2 linked regions of the Elephas maximus indicus genome follow. The protein of the gene in region 1 purifies or fractionates together with the protein of each later gene. This does not show direct contact. Links are inferred from orthologs where the notes say so. Each region holds a gene or a part of one and is shown on either strand. Other genes may lie near its edges. The genes, in order: PLEKHM1 and VPS39.

What was found.
Region 2: the proteins of PLEKHM1 (region 1) and VPS39 purify together in Homo sapiens (co-immunoprecipitation; 3 studies listed by BioGRID and IntAct, with this or other methods). This does not show direct contact. The link is inferred for Elephas maximus indicus from reciprocal best matches to the Homo sapiens genes PLEKHM1 and VPS39.

What each region holds. Positions count from the first base shown.
Region 1 is NC_064837.1:51,820,849-51,831,653, reverse strand, and holds the start of PLEKHM1 (pleckstrin homology domain-containing family M member 1), read left to right. Parts: upstream 1-6,484; 5' UTR 6,485-6,569; exon of another isoform or gene 6,570-6,603; intron 6,604-9,711; exon of another isoform or gene 9,712-10,112; intron 10,113-10,805. UniProt on the Homo sapiens protein: Acts as a multivalent adapter protein that regulates Rab7-dependent and HOPS complex-dependent fusion events in the endolysosomal system and couples autophagic and the endocytic trafficking pathways.
Region 2 is NC_064828.1:13,765,502-13,776,830, reverse strand, and holds the start of VPS39 (vam6/Vps39-like protein), read right to left. Parts: upstream 5,016-11,329; 5' UTR 4,866-5,015; coding exon 4,793-4,865; intron 1-4,792. Other genes in the region: TMEM87A (transmembrane protein 87A), read right to left, coding at 8,728-8,769. UniProt on the Homo sapiens protein: Regulator of TGF-beta/activin signaling, inhibiting SMAD3- and activating SMAD2-dependent transcription.

The sequences.
Region 1 (10,805 bases):
TGGGTGTTTGAAAAGGAATATAAGGCTCAATCACATTGCCAACCTGGTAAATGGCAGAACTTTCCATCTTCCGTAAGTGTTTATTCCCTTCCACCCTCATTGCCTAGGTTAGACCTGGAGGACCGATTTGAAGATTGAAAATAGAGGAACTGCCAGAAAGGATTATTTAGGGCAGAGATTCTCCCATGCTATTACGATTCAGATCTGTCAGTGGTAATTCCTGAATCCCTCTGTAGAGTGACTCCTTAGGGCTCAGGTGGGGCTCAGGAATCTGTATTTTGTTTTTAATATGCTATATTTCCCCCTTTATTGTGGTAAACATATGTAACAAATTGTTTGCTTTATCAACTTTCACCATGTGCACAATTCAGTGACATCAGTTATGTTTATCATGTTATTCAACTATGACCATTATCCATTTCCAAATTATCCCATCGCTCTTAACAGAACCTCAGTGCCCGCCCTGCCCCCCTACCAGGCCCTGGTAACCACCAATACAGTTTGATCTCTACACATTTGCCTATCCTAGATATTTCATGTAATCAGTATGCATCCCTTTGAGGCTGACTTATTTTTTTTTTTATAAATTTTTATTGTGCTTTAAGTGAAAGTTTACAAATCAAGTCAGTCTCTCACACAAAAACTTATATACACCTTGCTACATACTCCCAATTACTCTCCCCCTAATGAGACAGCCCTCTCTCTCCCTCCATTCTCTCTTTTCGTGTCCATTTCGCCAGCTTCTAACCCCCTCTACCCTCTCATCTGCCCTCCAGGCAGGAGATGCCAACATAGTCTCAAGTGTCCACCTGATCCAAGAAGCTCACTCCTCACCAGCATCCCTCTCCAACCCATTGTCCAGTCCAATCCATGTCTGAAGAGTTGGCTTCGGGAACGGTTCCTGTCCTGGGCCAACAGAAGGTCTGGGGGCCATGACCACCAGGGTCCTTCCAGTCTCAGTCAGGCCATTAAGTCTGGTCTTTTTATGAGAATCCGAGGTCTGCATCCCACTGCTCTCCTGCTCCCTCAGGGGTTCTCTGTTGTGTTCCCTGTCAGGGCAGTCATCGGTGGTAGCCAGGCACCATCTAGTTCTTCTGGTCTCAGGCTGATGTAGTCTCTGGTTTATGTGGCCCTTTCTGTCTCTTGGGCTTGTAATGACCTTGTGTCCTTGGTGTTCTTCGTTCTCCTTTGATCCAGGTGGGTTGAGACCAATTGATGCATCTTAGATGGCTGCTTGCTAGCGTTTAAGACCCCAGATGCCACTCTTCAAAGTGGGATGCGGAATGTTTTCTTAATAGATTTTATTATACCAATTGACTTACATGTCCCCTGAAATCATGGTCCCCAAACCCCTGCCCCTGCTACACTGGCCTTCGAAACATTCAGTTTATTCAGAAAACTTCGCTTTTGGTTTAGTCCAGTTGTGCTGACCTCGCCTGTATTGTGTGCTGTCTTTCCCTTCACCTAAAGTAGTTCTTATCTACCATCTAATTAGTGAATACTCCTCTTCCTTTCTCCCTCCCTCCCCATCTCATAACCATCAAAGAATATTTTCCTCTCTGTTAAAACTATTTCTCAAGTTCTTATAATAGTTGTCTTATACAATATTTGTCCTTTTGCAACTAATTTCACTCAGCACAATGCCTTCCAGTTTCCTCCATGTTATGAAATGTTTCACAGATTCCTCACTGTTAATTGATGCGTAGTATTCCATTGTGTGAATATACCATAATTTACTTATCCATTCATCTGTTGATGGGGACCTTGGTTGCTTCCATCTTTTTGCTATTGTAAACAGTGCTGCAATAAACATGGGTGTGCATATTTCTGTTTGTGTAAAGGCTCTTATTTCTCTAGGGTATATTCCGAGGAGTGGGATTGCTGGATCGTATGGTAGTTCTATTTCTAGCTTTTTAAGAAAGCGCCAAATAGATTTCCATAGTGGTTGTACCATTTTACATTCCCATCAGCAGTGTATAAGTGTTCCAATCTCTCCACAGCCTCTCCAACATTAACTATTTTGTGTTTTTTGGATTAATGCCAGCCTTGTTGGAGTGAGACAAAATCTCATTGTAGTTTTGATCTGCATTTCTCTAATGGCTAATGATCGTGAGCCTTTCCTCATGTATCTGTTAGCTACCTAAATGTCTTCTTTAGTGAAGTGTCTATTCATATATTTTGCCCATTTTTTAATAGGGTTATTTGTCTTTTTGTAGTTGAGTTTTTGCAGTACCATGTAGATTTTAGAGATCAGGCGCTGATCAGAAATGTCATAGCTAAAAACTTTTAGGAATCTGTATCTTGAGCCTGTCTCCAGGGGATTCTGATGACTATGGTTCTCCTATTTCCACTTTGAATAACTCTGTTGTTGTTATTATCTATGGAGTCAGCTGCAACTCTTGGTGACTCTGGATACAACATAAAACATTGCCCCGTCCTGTGCCATCTTCCTGATAGTTGTCATGTCTGAGTCCATTGTTGTGGCCACCGTGTAGCACCTTCCGAGGTAGAGAGCTCATCTTCCAGCACTATATAGGACAACAATATTCTGTTGTGATCCATAAAACTTTCCTTGGCTAATTTTTGAAAGTAGATCACCAGGCCTTTCTTCCTTCTGTCTTAGTCTGGCAGCTCCACTGAAAGCTGTCCACCATGGATGATCCTACAGATATTTGAAATACCAGTGCAATAGCTTCCAGCATCATAGCTACCTGCAAGCCACCACAGTAAGACAAACTGACAGACCGGTGGTGGTGAGTAACTGTCCCCTTGCCTGCATCACCCTTTTTCCTACTCACCTGGAAGGCTCAGCTCAAAGTCAGCTACTCCAGGATACCATTCAGATTTCCGTCTCTGGTCCCAACGTTATCATCGCTCAAGTCACACTTGTTGTTGGCTGCGATGACATTGCTCCCCACGTCACACTAATGTGAGTTTCCCCCCGCTCCTCCATCTGGAGTCTACTCAGTGGGCGCACGGTCCATTTATACATTTTGTGTGTGTGTGTGGAAATGTGCACAATGTTTGTGCATCTTCCCTCCTCCCATCCCCGAGAATCCACTGCTTTATTCAGTGACACAAAGGGGTATGCGGTCCCAAAAGAGGGTAGAGCAAGATGAGAATAGTACCATAAGGTAGCAGACTCTGCCAAGAGGCCGGGGAGGCAAGACAAGAGACCACCGATTCCACAGGGTTCCTCACAGTCCTGCAGAGAGTGGATGTGGGGTGCAGGGGCAAGCAGTGGAATAATCGAGGACATTATGTCCTTTATCTGGGGGGAGAGCAAACTTGTACCAAGTCACCGATGCTCTCACGGGACCAATTATGCCAGAAACACTATCTGTTTGCCAAGGTAACTGAATTTCACAAGTAAATCTTACTTCCCACCTTGCTTAAAATTAGTTTAACACCAAGGGACTACTTTGTTTCTATGTCTTCACCTCTAATCTTGCTCAAACATCAACCACTAGTTCTCTGGAATGCACTCTGACCTATCCAGCTTCAAACAGAGGAGGGGTGGCTCTCACTCCTGGAAAGAGAATTACTCAAGGGGCAGTTCACTCCATGCAGTCGGGGGCCAGAACCCCAACTAAGACAGGGAGCAAAGACCCTGAGATGGGAGGGTGCCTGTTTGAGGAATACCAAAGAGATTGGTGTGGTTAGAGGAGAAGCAAGTAAAAGAGAGACAGGCTATACTATCAGGGAGGTAATAGGGGTTTGGGTGTGGAGCCTAGGGACTTATTAAGACAAGACAACAGAGGGCCCCCCAAATCTGGAAACAAAGCAACCAAGAAATTGGGCCCAGTCACAAAAATAAAGCCATTCCCCAGAACAATGGGGCAGGGTATCAGAAAATACCTGGAAGTTGTCTTTCAGAAGTAGCTGGAGAAAACCAGCCCCAAGGACATGCGCAGAACATCCACCTGTGACCGCTGTGTGACCTCCACCAGGGGCAGTGAGAAGCTGCAGCAGCAGCCAGGAGGCTGCGGAGACACGACACCCCATAATAAGTCCTGCTACGAATCCCAGGTGCCTGCGGGACAGGAGCCATCTTGGAAAGCTGCTGCGCACACACAGGCACCGAAGTTAACATATCCTTGCCTATGCCTGTGAATAAACATGAATCTTTTCCCACCCAAGAACATTTTTAATTTTTATGGTGCTTTAAGTGAAAGTTTACAAATCAGGTCAGTCTCTCATACAAAAATTTATATACACTCGTAATTGCTCTCCCCCTAATGAGACAGCCCGCTCCTTCCCTCCACTCTCTGTTTTCGTGTTCATTCTACTAGCTTCTGACCCCCTCTGCCCTCTCATCTCCCCTCCAGATAGGAGATGCTAACATAGTCTCATGTGTCTATTTGATCCAAGAAGCTCATTCTTCACCAGCATCTTTTTCTATCCCATTGACCAGTCCAATCCCTGTCTGAAGAGTTAGCTTTGGGAATGGTTCCTGTCTTGGGCTAACAGGAGGCCTGGGGGCCATGACCACCAGGGTCCTTCTAGTCTCAGTCAGACCATTAAGTCTGGTCTTTTTATGAGAATTTGGGATCTGCATCCCACTGCTCTCCTGCTCCCTCAGGGGTTCTCTGTTGTGTTCCCTGTCACGGCAGTCATCGGTTGTAGCCAGGCACCATCTAGTTCTTCTGGTCTCAGGCTGATGTAGTCTTTGGTTTATGTGGCCCTTTCTGTCTCTTGGGCTCATTTTAATTACCTTGTGTCCTTGTTCTTCATTCTCCTTTGATCCAGGTGGGTTAAGACCAATTGATTCATCTTAGATGGCTGCTTGCTAGCGTTTAAGACCCCTGACGCCCACTCTTCAAAGTGGGATGCAGAATGTTTTCTTAATAGATTTTACTATGCCAATTGACTTAGATGTCCCCTGAAACCATGGTTCCCAAACCCCCGACCCTGCTACGCTGGCCTTCAAAGCATTCAGTTTATTCAGGAAACTTCTTTGCTTTTGGTTCAGTCCAGTTGTGCTGACCTCTCCTATATTGTGTGTTGTCTTTCCCTTCACCTAAAGTAGTTCTTATCTACCATCTAATTAGTGAATACTCCTCTTCCTTTCTCCCTCCCTCCCCCCTCTCATAACCATCAAAGAATATTTTCCTCTCTGTTAAAACTATTTCTCAAGTTCTTATAATAGTGGTCTTATACAATATTTGTCCTTTTGCAGCTGACTAATTTCTCTCAGCATAATGCCTTCCACCGGCCCAAGAACTTTTAAAAACCCAGGCCCATCTTTTGTTCTGTGAGACGGGTGTATGCGTTGCTTTAGGCTCTCCTCATTTCCCCTTGCAAACCTCTTCAATACAGCTCTGCTCATGCGGAAAACTCTACATGCCTTACCTGCTCATTTTTGACCAGTGAGAGGCAAGAACCTTATTCCTGTAACACAACTGCAGCATTAGAGTGGAAGCAGGGGCTGGGACCCCGACCTCAGAAGTGTCAGAGTCACTTTCCTTCCAGGAGAGTCTGAGGGAGCATAGGACACCAGACAAGTTAGTGGAGCTCGCTTCCAAGAACTGGGTTGTTCCCTAAGCACCACTGTATGTCCTTAGGACTTGCATGTAGCAGCACTCCTCCCCCCTTTTCCCGCTCATATTCAGGCTCTCAGGCCCCCATTTGTCCAAGACATTCCCGGCTAAGGCGGCCCAGTTACCGGGCCCTGCGAGCACTTCGCTGCGATAGCTACTTTTTGATATTTTGTTCTGAGTCCATTTGAAAGAGAAATGTCACATTCTACGATGGAAAGAATAAACTTAATGGCTAGATGAGAATGAGCGGATCCTTGAGCTTCGTGCCACGCGGGACGGATGGGCGAAATACAGAAGAGTGCTCAGAGGACCTCAGGGCACTCCTGTGGCATAAGGTGTAGTCCTAACATGTATGTCTTTCCTGCGAACGTCTGGTGAAAAGATTCCCACTTGGGACCGCTCCGCACGCCGGGCTGCGCTGGTGCCCTCCGGGAGGCAACCGCAGGAGAAGTATTAAAAAGCAAAAGCCCAAACCCACTGCCGTCGAGTCAATTCCGACTCATAGCGACCCTATAGAACGGAGCAGAACGGCCCCATAGAGTTTCCAAGGAGCGCCTGGCGGATTCCAACTGCTGATCTCTTCGTTAGCAGCCGTAGCATTTAACCACTACAGCACCAGGGTTTCCAGGAGAAACAGTATTGGTACCATTTTTCAAGCGGGAAGCCTGAGGCTGTGGGAGGCAAAGTGACGGCTCCAAGGTGACGCAAATGGTGCTGAGGCCAAGCCAGGTCAGGGACCCAGAAGCCACGATCTGTCGCATACCCTGTGGGAACAGGGGCCCAGCACCAGTCTTGGGGTCCCATACCTCCACACCATGCCCCTACACTGGCTTCTGGGAACTGCCCCCGGAGGGAGCGGCTGACCCCGCCCCGCGGCCCTGCCGGACTCCATGATTGGCTCTGCGTGCCGGAGGCGGGGCCAGGGCGCCGTGCCAACGTGATGGCGTCAGACGTCGCTGGAGCTGCTTCCTGTTGTCAGTGGCCGGGAGGGCGCAGCTTCCGGTTAGAGGCTGAGGGGCTGCAGCGCCTGTGAGTGACCCTCGCCCCCTCCCCGCTCCCTTTGGTGAGTCAGGGGTCAGGGGGCGAGGAGGGCAGCTGAGGGGCGGCGGGGCGGAGACGCGAGCGGACGATGGGTCTCCCGCCCTCTCCGTGATCACAAACCCTGGCTGCTTCGAGACCGACTTCAGAGCCCCCTACCTTTCCCAGCCCAAGCCCCCCGCCCCGCCCGGTTCCCTGTCCGCCCCACTCTGACCCCAGCCTTCGGCCTCCATTGCCACTGCAGGGCCGTCCCCTCCATCTTCTCTCACCCGTGACCTGAACCCAGCTCTTACCCCCATCCTCTCACTGTCCATCTTGCGTAAATGCAGCGTCGCCCCAGACCCCACTCTAGCCCAATTCCAACCGCAATCTCAGCCACATTCCTCTGCCTCCCCCTAACACATCTCATCCTTACCCCTCAACCCCTCTGGCAATCCTCATTCACTACGCAAACCTCCCCCAGTTCACTATTTGGGATTTTCCTTTTGTGTTCAACTTTCTTATCCCAATCTGTCATACACCCTTTCTGTGCTCCCTGAGGTCTGCTTTCATTTAAGAACCACCACCGAAGTAGGCGCCCTCCTTGAGTGCACCCCTTTCTTCTTGATAATTATGATCATAGTCATTTCCCAGGTTTTATATGTATCTTGTTCTCACAGACTTGGTCTCTAACTCCTTAGTTCATACACTTTTTCACTTTATAACTCCAGTCGTCCTTCCACCTCCTACCATCCTGGAGGACACCCCATTCCCTAAGTCTTTGCTAAACTGCCCCCAACTCTTACTGCCCTGTTTCCTGCTAACCCTCATCCAATCTTCTCGAAAACCAAGTCTCTGTGTCCTTTCACCTCTGCTGTCCCCACCCCCATACTTCACACCCATTCTTCTCTTGACCCAGCCCACATTCAACTGCATCCCCTGCCAACCTCACCAGCTGCCCTTTGGCAGCCAAATCTAGGTGCTTGTTTAGAGCCAGGCAATTAGAGACTGAACAGCTTGAGTGGGTGTGTGCAGGGCCTCAGGTGGTAAATAAGTGTCAAGGAGTAGACCCCTCTGGAGTTGAAGTTTTTCTTAGTGCCTAATCCCCTGTACCTCTTCCCAGGGACATTGTTTCTAGCATTCATATTAAATTACTGATGCTGACTGCTGGAGTGGTAGGCATCATCGAAATACTTGGAAGGTGAGGGACAGTCACTCATCCAGCTCATTAGGCCTGGGGCGACAGAAGCCATCACTTCCTTTTGGCTGGTATTCTGGCCTTGAAAACCTCGGAGGGCCACTGTGTGAGGTTGGCCGTAGTCACAGAACCCAGTGTTTCTACCTGCCAGTGCTGATTGTAAGTCAGTCCCAACTCTGAACACAGGGGACATGATAGGTGCCAGGGGCAATGTTGTATGTTGTAAAGAGTATAAGTGAGTAGGTCCTGGGGAGGCTGAGACCTAGGTGGATACAGATACCACTGAATCGCTTCATTTTTTTGCAGGTGCTGGATCATTGAGTTTTGACTGTTTTAGGTCACTCATGACACAGGGAGCCAAGTTATCTCAGAGTAAATGAGGCAGAAAGACATCCTGAGGCACCCAGGCCCCATGCTCAGCATTTATAGTCTCCTGGAGCTTTTTGATGCACATCTTCTCCAAACTCTGATGGCCTGGCTTTAGAAGAGTTGGCCATCCTCATACAGTAATTTGAAAGGGCCCCCAAAAGAACCCATTGTCTTTGCTTACCGTTTTACTGTTATAGTCTGTGATTCCTCAAAAATCGAATGTGGTTCAGTATCCCCCCATTAAAGTGCAATATATCTACATGGTTTTCAGCCTTATCCACAGTTTGGTTTAATGGAAAAAGTAATGGTCTTAGTTCTCTAGTGCTGCTATAACAGAAATACCACAAGCGGGTGGCTTTAACAAACAAATTTATTCTCTCATAGTCTAGGAGGCTAGATGTCCGAATCCAGGGGGAGGCTTTCACTCTCTAGGGGACGGTCCTTGTCATCAATCTCCCCCTGCTCTAGGAGCTTCTAGGGACCCCGGGTCCAAAGGACATGTGCTCCTAGCTCATCTAGCTTGGTGGTAGTGAGCCCCTTTGTCTCTCTGCTTGCTTCTCTCTTTTATATCTCAGAAGAGATTGAAGATACAACCTAATCTTGTAGATCGAGTCCTGCCTTACTAACATAACTGCCTCTAATCCTACCTCATTAACATCATAGAGGTTAAGATTTACAACATATAGGAAAATCACATCAGGGAACAAAATTGTGGACAGTCACACAATTCTGGGGATCATGGCTTAGCCAAGATGACACACATTTTTGGGGGACACAATTCAATCCGTCACAGTAACATAATGGCCCCACCACTTACAAGTTGTATACCTTAACTTCCCACAGTCTATGAAATGGAAATAGTAATATTGCTCTGTGCTTTATTTTTATTTCATTCATTGATTCATTCATCAAGCATTTATTGAGCACATCATGCTTAGCAAAATACAGGGTCAGCAGAAAAGAGGAAGACCGTCAATGAGGTGGATTGACACAGTGGCTGCAACAATGAGCTCAAGCATAACAGCGATTGTAAGGATGGCTCAGGACCAGGCAGTGTTTCATTCTGTTGTGCATAGGGTCGCTATGAGTCAGAACCGACTTGACGGCACCAAACAAAAACAACTAACAACTACTGTGTGCCAGGCACTGTTCTAGGCACTGGAAATGCGATGGTGAATAAGTCAGGCAAAGTGTGCCTGTTTTCATTTATTCAGAATTTGGTCCTATCTAGAATCCTACAGGATATGGGTCAGGAATATGGGGGAAATGGGATTACTGGGTGGAAGGGAGGAGGGAGGAAAGAAAGATATGCGGTGTTCACCAACTTCATAGGTCTGTCCTGGCCCACTAGTCCTTGGTCTGAGAATCATAAGCTTCTAGAAGTTTCTTGCCGTATAGCTAGCATTGAATTGCAACAGAGTCCACCCTCATCCCCAACCCACACAGGGCAATTTTCTAAAAATCCAACTTGGATTTCTTCAGGTGGAAGGAAGGTGCTGTTTACTTACTCAGCGCTCATATGTCTGAAAGATCAACTGCCTTTCTGAATCAGATGACCTTGTCATTCTTTTCCATACTGACTACTTTGTCATTCCTTTCCAACTGAAAACAACATGAGTCATCTATTGGTACAGCAGCTGAGTGTCCTATGCCAGGCTGTTCTGAACCACCAGGTACTGGATTAGATTCAGCCGGTGCTGGCAAGGCTGTTGGGAGTGGCTGAGAAGTCTAAAGAGAAGAGCTTGCTGTTTACTGATTTGCGTTGAAAGCAGTGAAGCCAGTTTATCCATTTCTTCTTTTAATGTAAGTCTTCGTCTAAGCCATTATTTTCTCTTTGGTCTCCAGAGGAAGTGAGATTGGACATATACAGAAAGCCAAGCAGTATAATGAAGAAGAGGAAGCAGGACAGTTCCTTCCTAACTGTGTGCTAGAACATTTAAGAAAGGCAGCTCTGAAACTTGGGCACTGTGGAATGGACCTTGGCTCAGGTGATTGGGGCTACAGATCTGACTGGCAAGACGTGTTGGTTTTAGGCCTTGTTTGATGGTAGATAAAATGGAACTTCTGCATCTCTTAAAAAATCTGTAACTAACTTTTGCCTGAAATTCTTTGAGCCAGAGACCTGAGACGGTTTGATGTGCTGGAAAGAAACAGGACTTGGAATGCAGAAAGCAGAAAGTTCAGTCCCTTACCTGAGGGCCATTTCTACACAGCTTCGGTTTTCTTTCCTGTAAAATGGAAATAACCATCCTCCTTCCCAGGATTGTTCTAAGAATTAAATGAAGTTAGAGAATGAGATCAGAAAAGCTTGCTTTGCTCACTCCAGAGAGCTGTATAAGGAGAAATCGGTGCTCGGACTGGAAGTAGACAGAGCCTCTGTGTCACGTGATCTGGAGTTCTTAAAAGGGTAGAAACCACCTTCTCTCCACCTCAGACTTCCACTGTAATCTTTTGAGAGCAGTTTATGGTGTTGCCCAAGTTTTCCCATTACTCCCGTCATCGTAGAGGTTCCTTGAAGCTCTACCTCTCTTGATTTGGTATTTGGTTTGGGTGAAAAGTGCTTGAGGACAGGAAGCAAACTCAATCCCATACAATGGTAGATTTGAGGCCTGGCCCGTAGGATGATGGAGTGCTGACCCAGCAGTCAAGAGACCCAAAGCCCTGTTCTGGTTCCACTAGCA
Region 2 (11,329 bases), on another chromosome or scaffold:
TGGTCTTGCCACGGTCCCCCGTGTCAGCAACCTGACAGGTCTCTGCATTCTTCTGCTTCTGCTGCCAGTCACCCTGGAACACAGCTCTGATGCTGTCACAGTGGCCTCAGAAAATCCTCATGAGGCTGCAGCACCCCAAAATGAAGTCAGACTCCTAAGCATGACATTCCATTTTTAAAAAATGTTTATTTGCCATTGATTGTTTCTTATCAAATGTCTACTGTACTGGCCCTAAAAGGGAAGCAGATAGACTCAATCTACTGAAACTTAAAAAAAAAAAAAAAAAAATTTTAATTGAAAATTTATTTGACCCTTCTCAAGCTGTCATTTGGTGGTGCTGAGGAAAAATATATTTATCATAATGCAAATTATTTATAATTATTTCTTTTAAAGAGTAGAAACACAACATACATACTCATCTTCAAACTAATCCGCAAATGTCTAAGGAAAAACAGTGTGTCATCCAGAAGTTCCAATGACATGGAGCCCTGAAGAGGTATGCCTGGGTTACAGAAGTCAGTGGAGGCTCAGGCAGCCAGAGGTCCTGAGCCGGGTTGGGCCCTCCAGTCTCGATGACATGTCATCATGTAACACAGCTGCGCATACACAACAGAGAAGGACAAGCTTGCAGAGCAGGTACAGCACAGGGTGGACAGTCCCTTCTTGGAGCCAGTACTGCATACCAGAAGGTGGAACACCCTATGCAAATGGGTAACACACATAAAGAAACAGAGACAGCCCTAGAAAACTCCTGGAGACCTAATCCTGAGCCACAAGGTTGGACTTGGTCCCTCCTGGGAAGTAAGGCTGGGCCTTCTTGCTCATAGTTACCGTACTGAAGCTCCATCCAACAGTGCAAGGCCCTCCTATAACAACCAATTCATTCCTGGCCCCATGCAGGCCACTGCAGCAGTACATAGATGAATACGGTACTGGTCACTTTCCTTCTCGGGGTTGTACGGCAGACAGTGTTTCTCAAAGCATAAACCCCTGACTAGGGGCATCAGAATCACCTGGACTAATTAAAAACGCACCGTCCTGAGCCCTGCTCCCAGAGATTCTGATTCACAGACTCTGAGGCGGTGTCTTGAAATCTACATTTTTAATTTTTACTTTGTTTTTTTAATGTTTATATGAACCATTTATGCAGTTCCAAAGCTAAAACTATGAGAAGTCTTAGCTTCCCTCCTTGTTACTTCACCCTGTCACTTCCCTTCTGCTACAGGTAATCATTTTAGTCATGACTGGTTTATCCTTCCCTTTTTTTTTTAAAAAAAATACAAGTAAATGCGTGTGTATACTCACGTACTAAACACACTCACAAACCTGCATTTTTTACAGGCTCTGGTGTACACTAAAGTATATAAACCAGATTCTGAAATCAGACGTGATTTACTGGGTCTGTGACTTTACAAAGATTATCTAACTTCTCCAAGCTTCAGGTTCTTCCTCTATAAAATGGCATTGTTATTATTCCATTAAAGCACTTAGCACAAGGCCAAATACAGATTGGTACTCAATAAATCAAAGCTATTACTATTAGTATCATTTTTACTCTTAATTAAGAATCTATTTAACAATACCCAGCTGTGCGTCAAGAACTATCCTAAGCATTTCAGATACGGCAATGTACAAGACCAAGTTCCTTCTCTGAAAAAACTTATATTCTAATGTGGTGTGAAAAAAACAATACACAGAGAGATAACATAACACTGGGTGGTGATCATGATAAGAAAGGTAAGGCTTGGTAAGGGAATACAGCATTGGTGGATATGACACCCTCTTTTACCCAGGGTAGTTAGGGAAGGTCTCACTGACTTAGGTGACATCTCAGCAGAGACCTGAATGACATGAGGAAGGAACCATGTGGTATCTAGGGCACGAGAGTTCCAAGCAGAGGATGGATACAGCAAGTGCAAAGGTCCTGAGGTATATATGTGCTTTGTGTGTTCATGGAACAACAGGAAGACTGTGACCAGCACCAGAAGGAGCAAAGGGTACAAGTGTAGGAGATAAAGTGAGGGGTGTAACCACAGGCCTGAGCGTGCCAGGTATTGTCAGCCACAGTAAGGTCTCTGGAAGTAGAGTTGTGATGTGAAGCCACCAGAGGACTTTGAGCAGAGGAGAGATGTGATCAGATTGAGGTTTTCAAAGGATCATTCTATCTCTGTGTGGATAAAACACTGAAAACAGCACAAGGCAAACACAGTAGTAGGACTCCACTGTAATAACTCAGATGAGAGATGATGGGCCTTCATCAAGAGTAGTAATAGTGGAGACGGAGGGAAGAGACTGGATTCTAGGTTTATTCTGGAGGTGGAGCTGGCAGGATTTGCTGATGGATTAGATGTGGTGTATAAGAGAATGAGAGAAGTCAAGAATGATTCCAAGGTGTTTCGCCTGAGCCAAATAGAAAAGCCATTCACTGAGGCGTGGGATACTGCAGGAGAGACAGGTTTTGGGGGAGTGGAATCAAGAATTCTGTTTTGGCCATGCTATTAGACATTCAAATGAAGATGCTGAAAAAGCAGTTGGATAAACAAGTCTGGAGTTTAGGGAAAAGTTGTCATCGTCATCAGTGCCCACCTCACTGCCATTTCCCAGGTGAGTTCTGGTGTCTCTAAGACACCTTCCAGCCCAAATATTGTCTCGCCCTGCATGATCTGGCTCCTGGAGTTTCCTTGATGAACTTTCCATAAAAGGGGTGATGACTAGAAACAGAAATATTAAAAAAAAACCAAACCCATTGCTGTCAAGTTGATTCTGACTCATAGCAAACCAGAAATATTTAGACAAGAATAAAATAGAATATTTATGGCTGCTACAGACTGAAAATAAAGTAGCTCTAAGGTTGCTGTTGTTGGGTGCTGCTGAGTTGATTCTGACTCACAGTGACCCCATGTGACAGAGCAGAACTGCTCCAGAGGGATTTCCTGGCTGTAATCTTTATAGAAACAGATCACCAGGTCTTTCTCCTGCAGAGCCATGGGGTGGGTCTGAACCACCAGCCTTTTCAGTTAGCAGCCAAGCACCTTATCATTGTACCACCAGGGCTTTGAGGGAGGAGACAGTAAATGGTCTCTTGTAGCCCAATACCTCCTACAGCATCCTAGGAGGCAAAGGGCATTTCTCCTCTTCGGTGGGGGATCAAGTGAGGCCAGACGCTGGCATTTCAAAACTGTGTTCCTCAGAAGCAGAGGTACGGGGACTCTTTACTGTGATACAGTAGAGGTGGTGAAGGAGGCTCACAGATACCTGTACTAATGGTTCCATAGGGTATCAGAGTCAAGGCGCTCAATAATGAGTAATTTTCAAGAAGTATTTCCTATGTACGCTGGGACTCTGACAAGCTAAATCAGGTGTCATAAGCAGCTACATCAATCGTTTTCAGAAGCGTATGTCCTAGGCCTTGTGCTCCTGTAACAGGCTGCATCTAGTATCATTTATCTTGAATCAAAATCTGTTCACGTTTCTGAGTCCCCCACTGTGTTCCAGGAGCACAGGCACTGTTTCTTATTCATCCCTGTATCCCTGACCCTAGCAGAGAGATTGGTCTTGAAGGGACCCAACACATACTTGATGAAGAAATAGGGAAATGAATCCTTTGTGCAGTGGGTCGGCTCTTATTATTTTTTTTTTCTCCATTACTTATTTTAAAATTTTACTGAGAACATTTAATGACAGGAAACAGACCTTCTTGAGATGTCTGGATTAAGTAGGAGTCTCTGCTTAATCCAAAAGACTAGGACGTCTTTCTGTGAAGGTCTCATTTCAAAAAGGCAACATTAACATGTTGTGGTGAAAGAGCCCTACTGAAAAAGCCATGAAAAATTCCACAAGGATGACGGGGTGCCACAGGCAACAGATAATGCATACAATGCCGGCCACCACCACGGCCATTGGGGGTTCCTAGCTCAGTATAAGATCCCATGGGTTCTGAGCTTCCTTCTTATGGTCCTTGATTTCTAGGACTTGGACATTAACAGGAAAAACTGAATTTCTGCTTGGTCTCTGGTGGCTGTTATCAGACAGAACTACTCAAAGAGCACAGTGTTCATAGTTAAGAGTGAAGGTTGGGACTCCTGAAACATTCATTTGTATTCCAGGGCACACAAGAGATGCCTGACCCTGCTTTCTGCACTGGCCAATCCTAAAAGGATTATGTAAGCTTTTATTGGCTAGGTCTCATGACAGTCTGCAATAATGCTCTTTACCTACAGTTAGGTAACTTGGGCTCTGTGGATATGAGCAATCAACCACTTGGCTAGTTAAGAATTTAAAGTAACGATGTGAATTACCTGCAGGAGCCAAAAGTGAACAATGAGTGATCACTGAGGGAAAGAAAATAAGGCATTTGGTGTTAACTTGCTCAGTGAACAAAAAAGGCCAGTGTGTTTCACCTAGGAAAGAACACAATCACCTGGACAAGCCCAAGCCCCTGGCAGGCTGAGAACTCCCCAATGCACTGGCCCTCCAAACTGAAGCCTTCTTGGAATTGAAACGGATCAAAGCTGAGTACAACTAATAAGGAAAGCTCCATCTCCAACTCCGCACGGTGCGCGCGGGTGAAACGTCCCTAAAATGCCTGGAGCACTGGAAATCGCCCAAGCACCCCCACCGCCCTCCCTGTCCACAGCCGGTCACATCGCTGCCCTCCCTCGTCCCAGGCCCTCTCGGACAGCGACCGACCGGAGCCCACACAGCCAGACGCCTGTCCACTTTCCCAGCCTTCGCGAAAGGTCCGGGCCGCTCCCGCGCTGGCCCCGCCTCGGCCCGTGACCCCTCCGCTCACCCCAGGCGGCGAGACAGTCGATCTGCAGAGGCAGCTTTTCTAGGATCGGCACCGGCTCGAACGCGTCGTGCATCGCGGCGAGGAGAGTCGGCGCCGCCGCCGTCTCACCCCGAGGGGGCCGGGCCGGGACTGGGCAAGGGCAGACAGGGATCCGACCAGGGACCCCCCAACTACGGGCCCAGCTGCAACACAGCCATCATCAACCCCAGACTTCCGGCCGGCGTAGGCCCGCCCTTTCCGCCGTCGAGGGCCCGCCCCTTCCGCCCGGCTCCCGGCGTATCCTCAAGGACCGCAGGGGTGCTGGCTTGTTTCCGTCGTCGCCCTAGACCCAGAGTTTCTCTGGCGGGAGGCCGAGTAGCCATGGGCTTAACAAGGAAGGAAATAATCTTAGAACTTCCTTGGGCAGCATAGCGTGGTGGTCTAAGAATTCATGTTTTGGCGTCAGTCAGACTTGGAAGACCTGCCCTTTAGAAAGTTAGCCATGACTTCCAGGAAATTTAATCTCTCCAGCCTGTTTCCTACCCTGCAAAATGAGGGTAGTCTAAGTACCTACGATTTAGCGAGGCCTGACCCCTTTAAGCACTCAGTAAACGCTACGTTCCCATTGCGACGATTCTGACTCATAGTGACCCTGTAGGGCAGTAGAGCTGTCCCATAGGGTTTCCAAGGAGCGGCTGGTGGATTCAACTGCGACCTTCTGGTTAGCAAGTGAATGCCTAACCACTGTACCACCAGGGGTCCCCATAAATGGTGGTTGTTAGCATTGTCATTATTACTCTAACTAGAATGTCATTCTAGGGCAGTGGTTCTCATAGTGTGGTCCTTAGACCAGCAGCAGCAGCAGCAGCAGCAGCAGCATCACCTGGGAACTTTGTTAGAAATGTAGTCTCAGGCCTCACTCCAGCCCTACTGAATCAGAAACTTGGGAGTTGGGGGTCCAGCAATCTGTTTTAATAAGCCCCCAAGGTAAGTCCATGCACTCTAAAGCTTGAGAAGGACTGTTCTAGCCAGTTCTTCAGTTGCTGCACTATTGGTATTTAGGGCAGGATACTTGTTTTGTTGTGGGGGTCTGTTCTGTGCACTGTGGGATGTTTAGCAGCATCCCTGGCTTCTACCCACTAGATGCCAATAGCACCCTCCAGGGGGTTATAACATGTCTTCTGACATTGCCAGGTGTCCTCTGCTGGGGAGGGCAGGGTGGAGGCAAAATCATCCCTGGGTGAGAAACACTGTTCTAGGCCAATACTTCTCAAACCTTAAAGGGCATACAGATCACCTGGTGATCTTGTTTAAAACCAAACCAAACCCACTGCTGGAGTCAAATCTGACTCTTAACAACTCTACAGGACAGAGTAGTACTGCCCCATAGTGTTTCCAAGACTGTGAATCTTTACCAGAGCAGACTTTCACACTTTTCTCCCTGTAGAGTGGCTGATGGATTCCAACCACCACCCTCTGGTTAGCAGCCAAGCACTTTAACCACTGTGCCACCAGGGCTCCTTCTTGTTTAAAAAGCAGATTCTAATTCAGCAGGTCCCCAGTAGGGCCCTCAACTGAGCATTCCTAACGAGTGCCCAGGTGTTGCTGATGCCACTGGTCCCTGGACTACATTTTGAGTAGCAGGGGTCTAGGCAGCAAGAGTTGATTCAGCAATCTTGGGAGACAGTAAAATTAACCCTTTTAAAATTTCTGATCCCACTCCCACCAATTCAACTCTCTCAAGCTGTGTCTTACAACCTTCATATCCCCAGGCTTTTAGGACGATAAGAGACTGAGTTTACCGCAGTATTACTCTGGAGACTTAAAAATAACAAAAACAAAAACTAAATTTAATTTGAAAGCATAAGCTGTATCTGGTAGCCCTGCCTCCTTCAGGAAAACATCAGGTATGTCCTTTACAAATGCTGTATCTGAAAATCAAATGACATATTTTAAAGTAGTCAGAAACACAAAAACCGCTAAGCAAATCTTGTGTTATGGCTGACTTTCACCAGATAGGCTGATCACCTTCTTGAAAATTTTAAATTGCCAACTGCTGTGCTAGAAGGAGGCCTATTTTTAGTTCCAGTGCCGAAAGCCAAGAACAAAATAAACAGTGTAAACTCTAAGGTAATAGGTCAAGGTGAAATTATGCATTCCTTCTGAACCTGCCCTGCCCCAAGAAATGACACATATTCAATCCCATTAACACAGGAAGTCTTAAGAGAGCAGAAAGAATTATCAGGCCTCAGCCTATAGAATTTATACTATATGGTCTTGCTGAATACAGATTTTTTTTTTTTCCTAGTCTCAACTCAACATCTAACTATCCTTAAAAAACATCTGAACCAACTAAACTGCTGCATTATAACTATTACTCACCTGCCAAGTTTTAGTATTCAAGACAAAAGTACGCATGACAACAACATGGGTTACTGTCAACGTGGTTTGACAGTAACAACCCACGGCAATGGATTAGCATGGAAGTCAGTTCTTCATACTGTTAGTCCTTAGAAGTACTGTGTTTTGTTTTTTAATCACCATAGTGAGGAGCTACAGAGAAATGCTACATAAATATTCAGACTTTCACTGGGAGTTAGTGACGATTATGGTCACTGGATTGTACAGAATACAGGACTACCTAGAATAAAACCATGGAAGAAAAATTCCCTCAAGGCAGAGTTTTGGAGAGAACAAGTTTATCAGAATAAAGTCTGAAAAAAAATGAGAAAAAACAATAATTTTGTTAAAATTTTTTATATTAAAAAGTGGCACGAACTTTTTATGTAGAACAAAAATCTTGGGAAGGCAAAATTGGAGAAAACCATTAAAACAGAAATATAGTGCTTCAAATAAACCCCATCACCTTGCAATGCTTCTTAGTCTCTGAACCAACACCAGATATAAAAACAGCCAGTCCTAAAGAAAAAGCAGCATCCAGGGCCTCCACATGGCGGCATGCAGGAGTAACTGTGAATTAAGCCAGAAGGACCTGCTTCCTCTGGACCAAGCTCCCATTTCTGAAGCATTACAGTTCCTCTAGCTGGGAGCTCGCTCACAAGCACTTAGATGGAGTGCCTCTGTGCACGGAGTGCACCACCCAGTGAACGGCAGGAAGGCAAACAAAGCATCGCCTAGAATGCCAAAACGCCGCCCTGGGAGGCTTACAAAACAGTAGTTAAAAGTTCCCAAGTGTGCACCACATTGCCAGCAATGGGATATGTCACAATAGCAGATGTCAAAGGAGTTAAGCTAGTATTTCTAAGTTACATCTGAAATAGAAAAATCTTTAATATACACCATTTGTAAACAAAATTGCACTTGATTTTGCTTTTTTAAAGGATCTGAATCACACTGTAAGTGTCTCTCTTGCTTCGTTGTTGTTGTTGTTGTTGCTGTTCTTTTAATCACTGACAGAACAGTGGCTCCTTAACTCAGAAGGGCCCTTTGTTCTCAAAACTATCTCTGCAAGAAGTAACCTTGGCTTCCCAGGAAACTGAAAGATAATTAACAATTTCCCCCATCACCTATGTAACTTCCTAAATAAATAAAATCACAGGCAGTTGTTCCTGGAGATTACATATTATGACCTTGATGTCACAGTCCTTTAGAAGACGTTAAACTTTTTAGTTTGACAGGTTAAACAACTGAAACATTATAGAGGGCTCAGGAACAACACATATAAGTTGCATAAACATCCATGTCAGGGTGTGGGAGGGGAAGGGGTATCAATGTTGGAAATCAGAAACTTATAGATTTTTTCCATCCTATGAACTTGTTTTCGGTAAGATTCTCCTTGTTCTGACACCTCTCGCCAGCTCCAATGCAGCAAGATCAGGGAACAGATCAGGAAGTCGTTGCCTCCAGTAACCCCACACAGCAGTGGCGGAAGACTGACACGGAAGCTGATCTCTTCCCTGATACTAGCCATCTTCAATTGCAATTCTTCCTATTCTTTATTCCATTTTGGACCTTTCAAAGTGTGTGATCATTCGCTCCTAGGGGAAAAAGAAATGTTTAGTTAAAATTAGCCACATTTCAAGTATCTTCTACGTAGACTATGCACATGTATTATTTTCCACAAGTCCTTGCTCATGTTAATTCAATATTTAGAGCAATGGTTCCTAACTGTCTACTGACGTTTTAGAACATACAAATGTACAGGCCCCAGCGAAGAGCAACTAAATCAAAATCTCTAGGCTTCTGAACCTCAAACCACAAATTAAAAGAAATATATTTTAGGCAATTAAAATGATTAAATAAATAATTTAGTTAAGATTAAGCTTTAATAAAAATATGTACCTCCTCTGATTTAGGAATTTATCTTGAAGTAATACTCAAGGACGTAGGCAAAGATTTAGCCACAATCATGTCCACTGCAACACTCAGCGTTATAGCAAAATATTACAAAGAACTAAATGTCCAAAAACATAGGGACGTATAAACAAACTACAGTATATGCTTACAATGAAATAATATATACTAATTAAAATTTCATTTGACTATAAAACACTATGTACAATATCCAAATTCAGTTAAGAAAATTACATGTACTACCATTATAATTTCCTTTCTTGCAAAATTTTTTACCTTAGAGTATTTTTTTCACTTTTCCTTTGCTTCATTTGCCAAGTACCTATCACAAATGTATCCCAAACTCAAACTGAACTATAAATCCCTTTTCAGTATGATCAATCCCATCAGATAATCTGTGGTTTTCATTTTTCCCCCCTTGAATTATCCTTGGCGCTCTCTCATGTTGGATCCCTTACTTCCTGGATCCCATGCCATTCTCTTTCTTAGTTGATTTCCTCGTTTTTGTGGAGAACATTTTCCACTACTTTCCTGAGAAAGCACGCACAGGATATAAATTATTTTACCTCTTGCGTTTCTGAAAACATCTTTTTTTTTAACCCTTTTATTCACAGTTTGGCTGGGTGTAGAATTCTACACTGAAAATAACTTTTCTCAGAATTCAACAGCGCTGCTCTGGCATCTTCTCCTTTCCGAGGCTGCTGGATGAGAGTCTGATGCAGTTTTGATTCCTGCTCCTTTAGGCAATTTATTCCCTCACAAGTCATTTGTTCTTTTTCAGTTTTCAAAAAGAAAACCCTTGGTATTTACTAGGTATTATTACAAAGTCTTGCATAGTATTTGCACACAGGACTCGACAGCAGGGGGTTTGAGTTTTTGGTTTAGAGGCCTAAAGCCAAAGGGATGCCTTGAGGCAGACAATCAGCAGAGAAGACCCCAGATGGAGCGCTGTAGATGTATTACTGCAAGACGATATGGAAAATGTAGAACACATCGCAGTGTTATGTCGACAGGTTTAACTCTGAATGGTAGAGTTTTTAATTATTTCAATTCAACAGCTAAAGAATTTCACACTGTATGCTGCTTCACACAGCAGGTCAGCAGGAAATGAACAAACAACTTTTATAGCAGCCTATCTAATACAGGGAATTAAAATCAGGCAAGATGCTCCCAAAAGACTTTCTGAAATTAAGAAGTCCTGGAATAACCTAATATTCCAAACATGTCTAAAACTAGTTCCCATGATCTCAGATTGCAACTCTTACATAAAACTTCATTTGAAGCCTTGTAGATAAACCGTATGGAGGTATACTAAAAGATTAAGAACCATATTGGCTGGTAGAGACTAGATGAGTCCGCAAGATTATCACCCTGGGATACCCTTTGAACTTGGAACTCAAACCACTCCCAGAGGTCACCTTGCAGCCAAATGACAGATTGGCCCACAAAATAAATTATCACCCCTGACTACTGTGCTCCTCTAAATAATCATCTAAAAAAAAAAATCATCTAAATGAAACAAATGGAAAACATTCACCCTGGATCAATGACGAAAAGGTAAGCAGGGGACATGGGAGCTAGATTACGAAAACATAACAACAAAAATGGAAATGAGAATGCTGACATATTGTGAAGAATGTAATAACCAATGTCGCTGAACAATATGTATAGAAATTGTTAAATGAAAATCTGATTTGCTGTGTATACTTTCACCAAAAACACAGTATTTTTTAAAATAAGTATTCTTCAATTAAAAAAAAGATTAAATATCAGCAAAAACATTAGAGTACTAATTATAATCCTAGTTATTTGAAGAGGGTAATAATACAGATAACATTAAACAGTAGATAATTTTTAATAATTTATACTTTGTGCTAGTCTACTATATTCCTTTCAACACTTGTCCTTAACTATTTTTGCCGAGATTAGATTAAGGTTAAATTTGAATTTCTTAAAGATAAGGGAACTACACAGAGGCAGAGTATCGTATTGGTACCAAATTTAAACAGGCATCCTCAAGTAAGACCATATAACTCTGAAAAAGAAAAGCAAGACAGGTACAGGTAATACTGAGAGTTTTCTTGAATATCTGAGTTCTAATATTAGTATGTCCATTCTTATCCTTTTTCAACTATACCAACTATAGTCCTTTGGAGCCATTATTGAGTCAAATAAGTAGAATCTCCTTGACCAGAGGACTCATAATTTCCTACTAAGTCACCAGATTCACAGAGTTCACGCCCA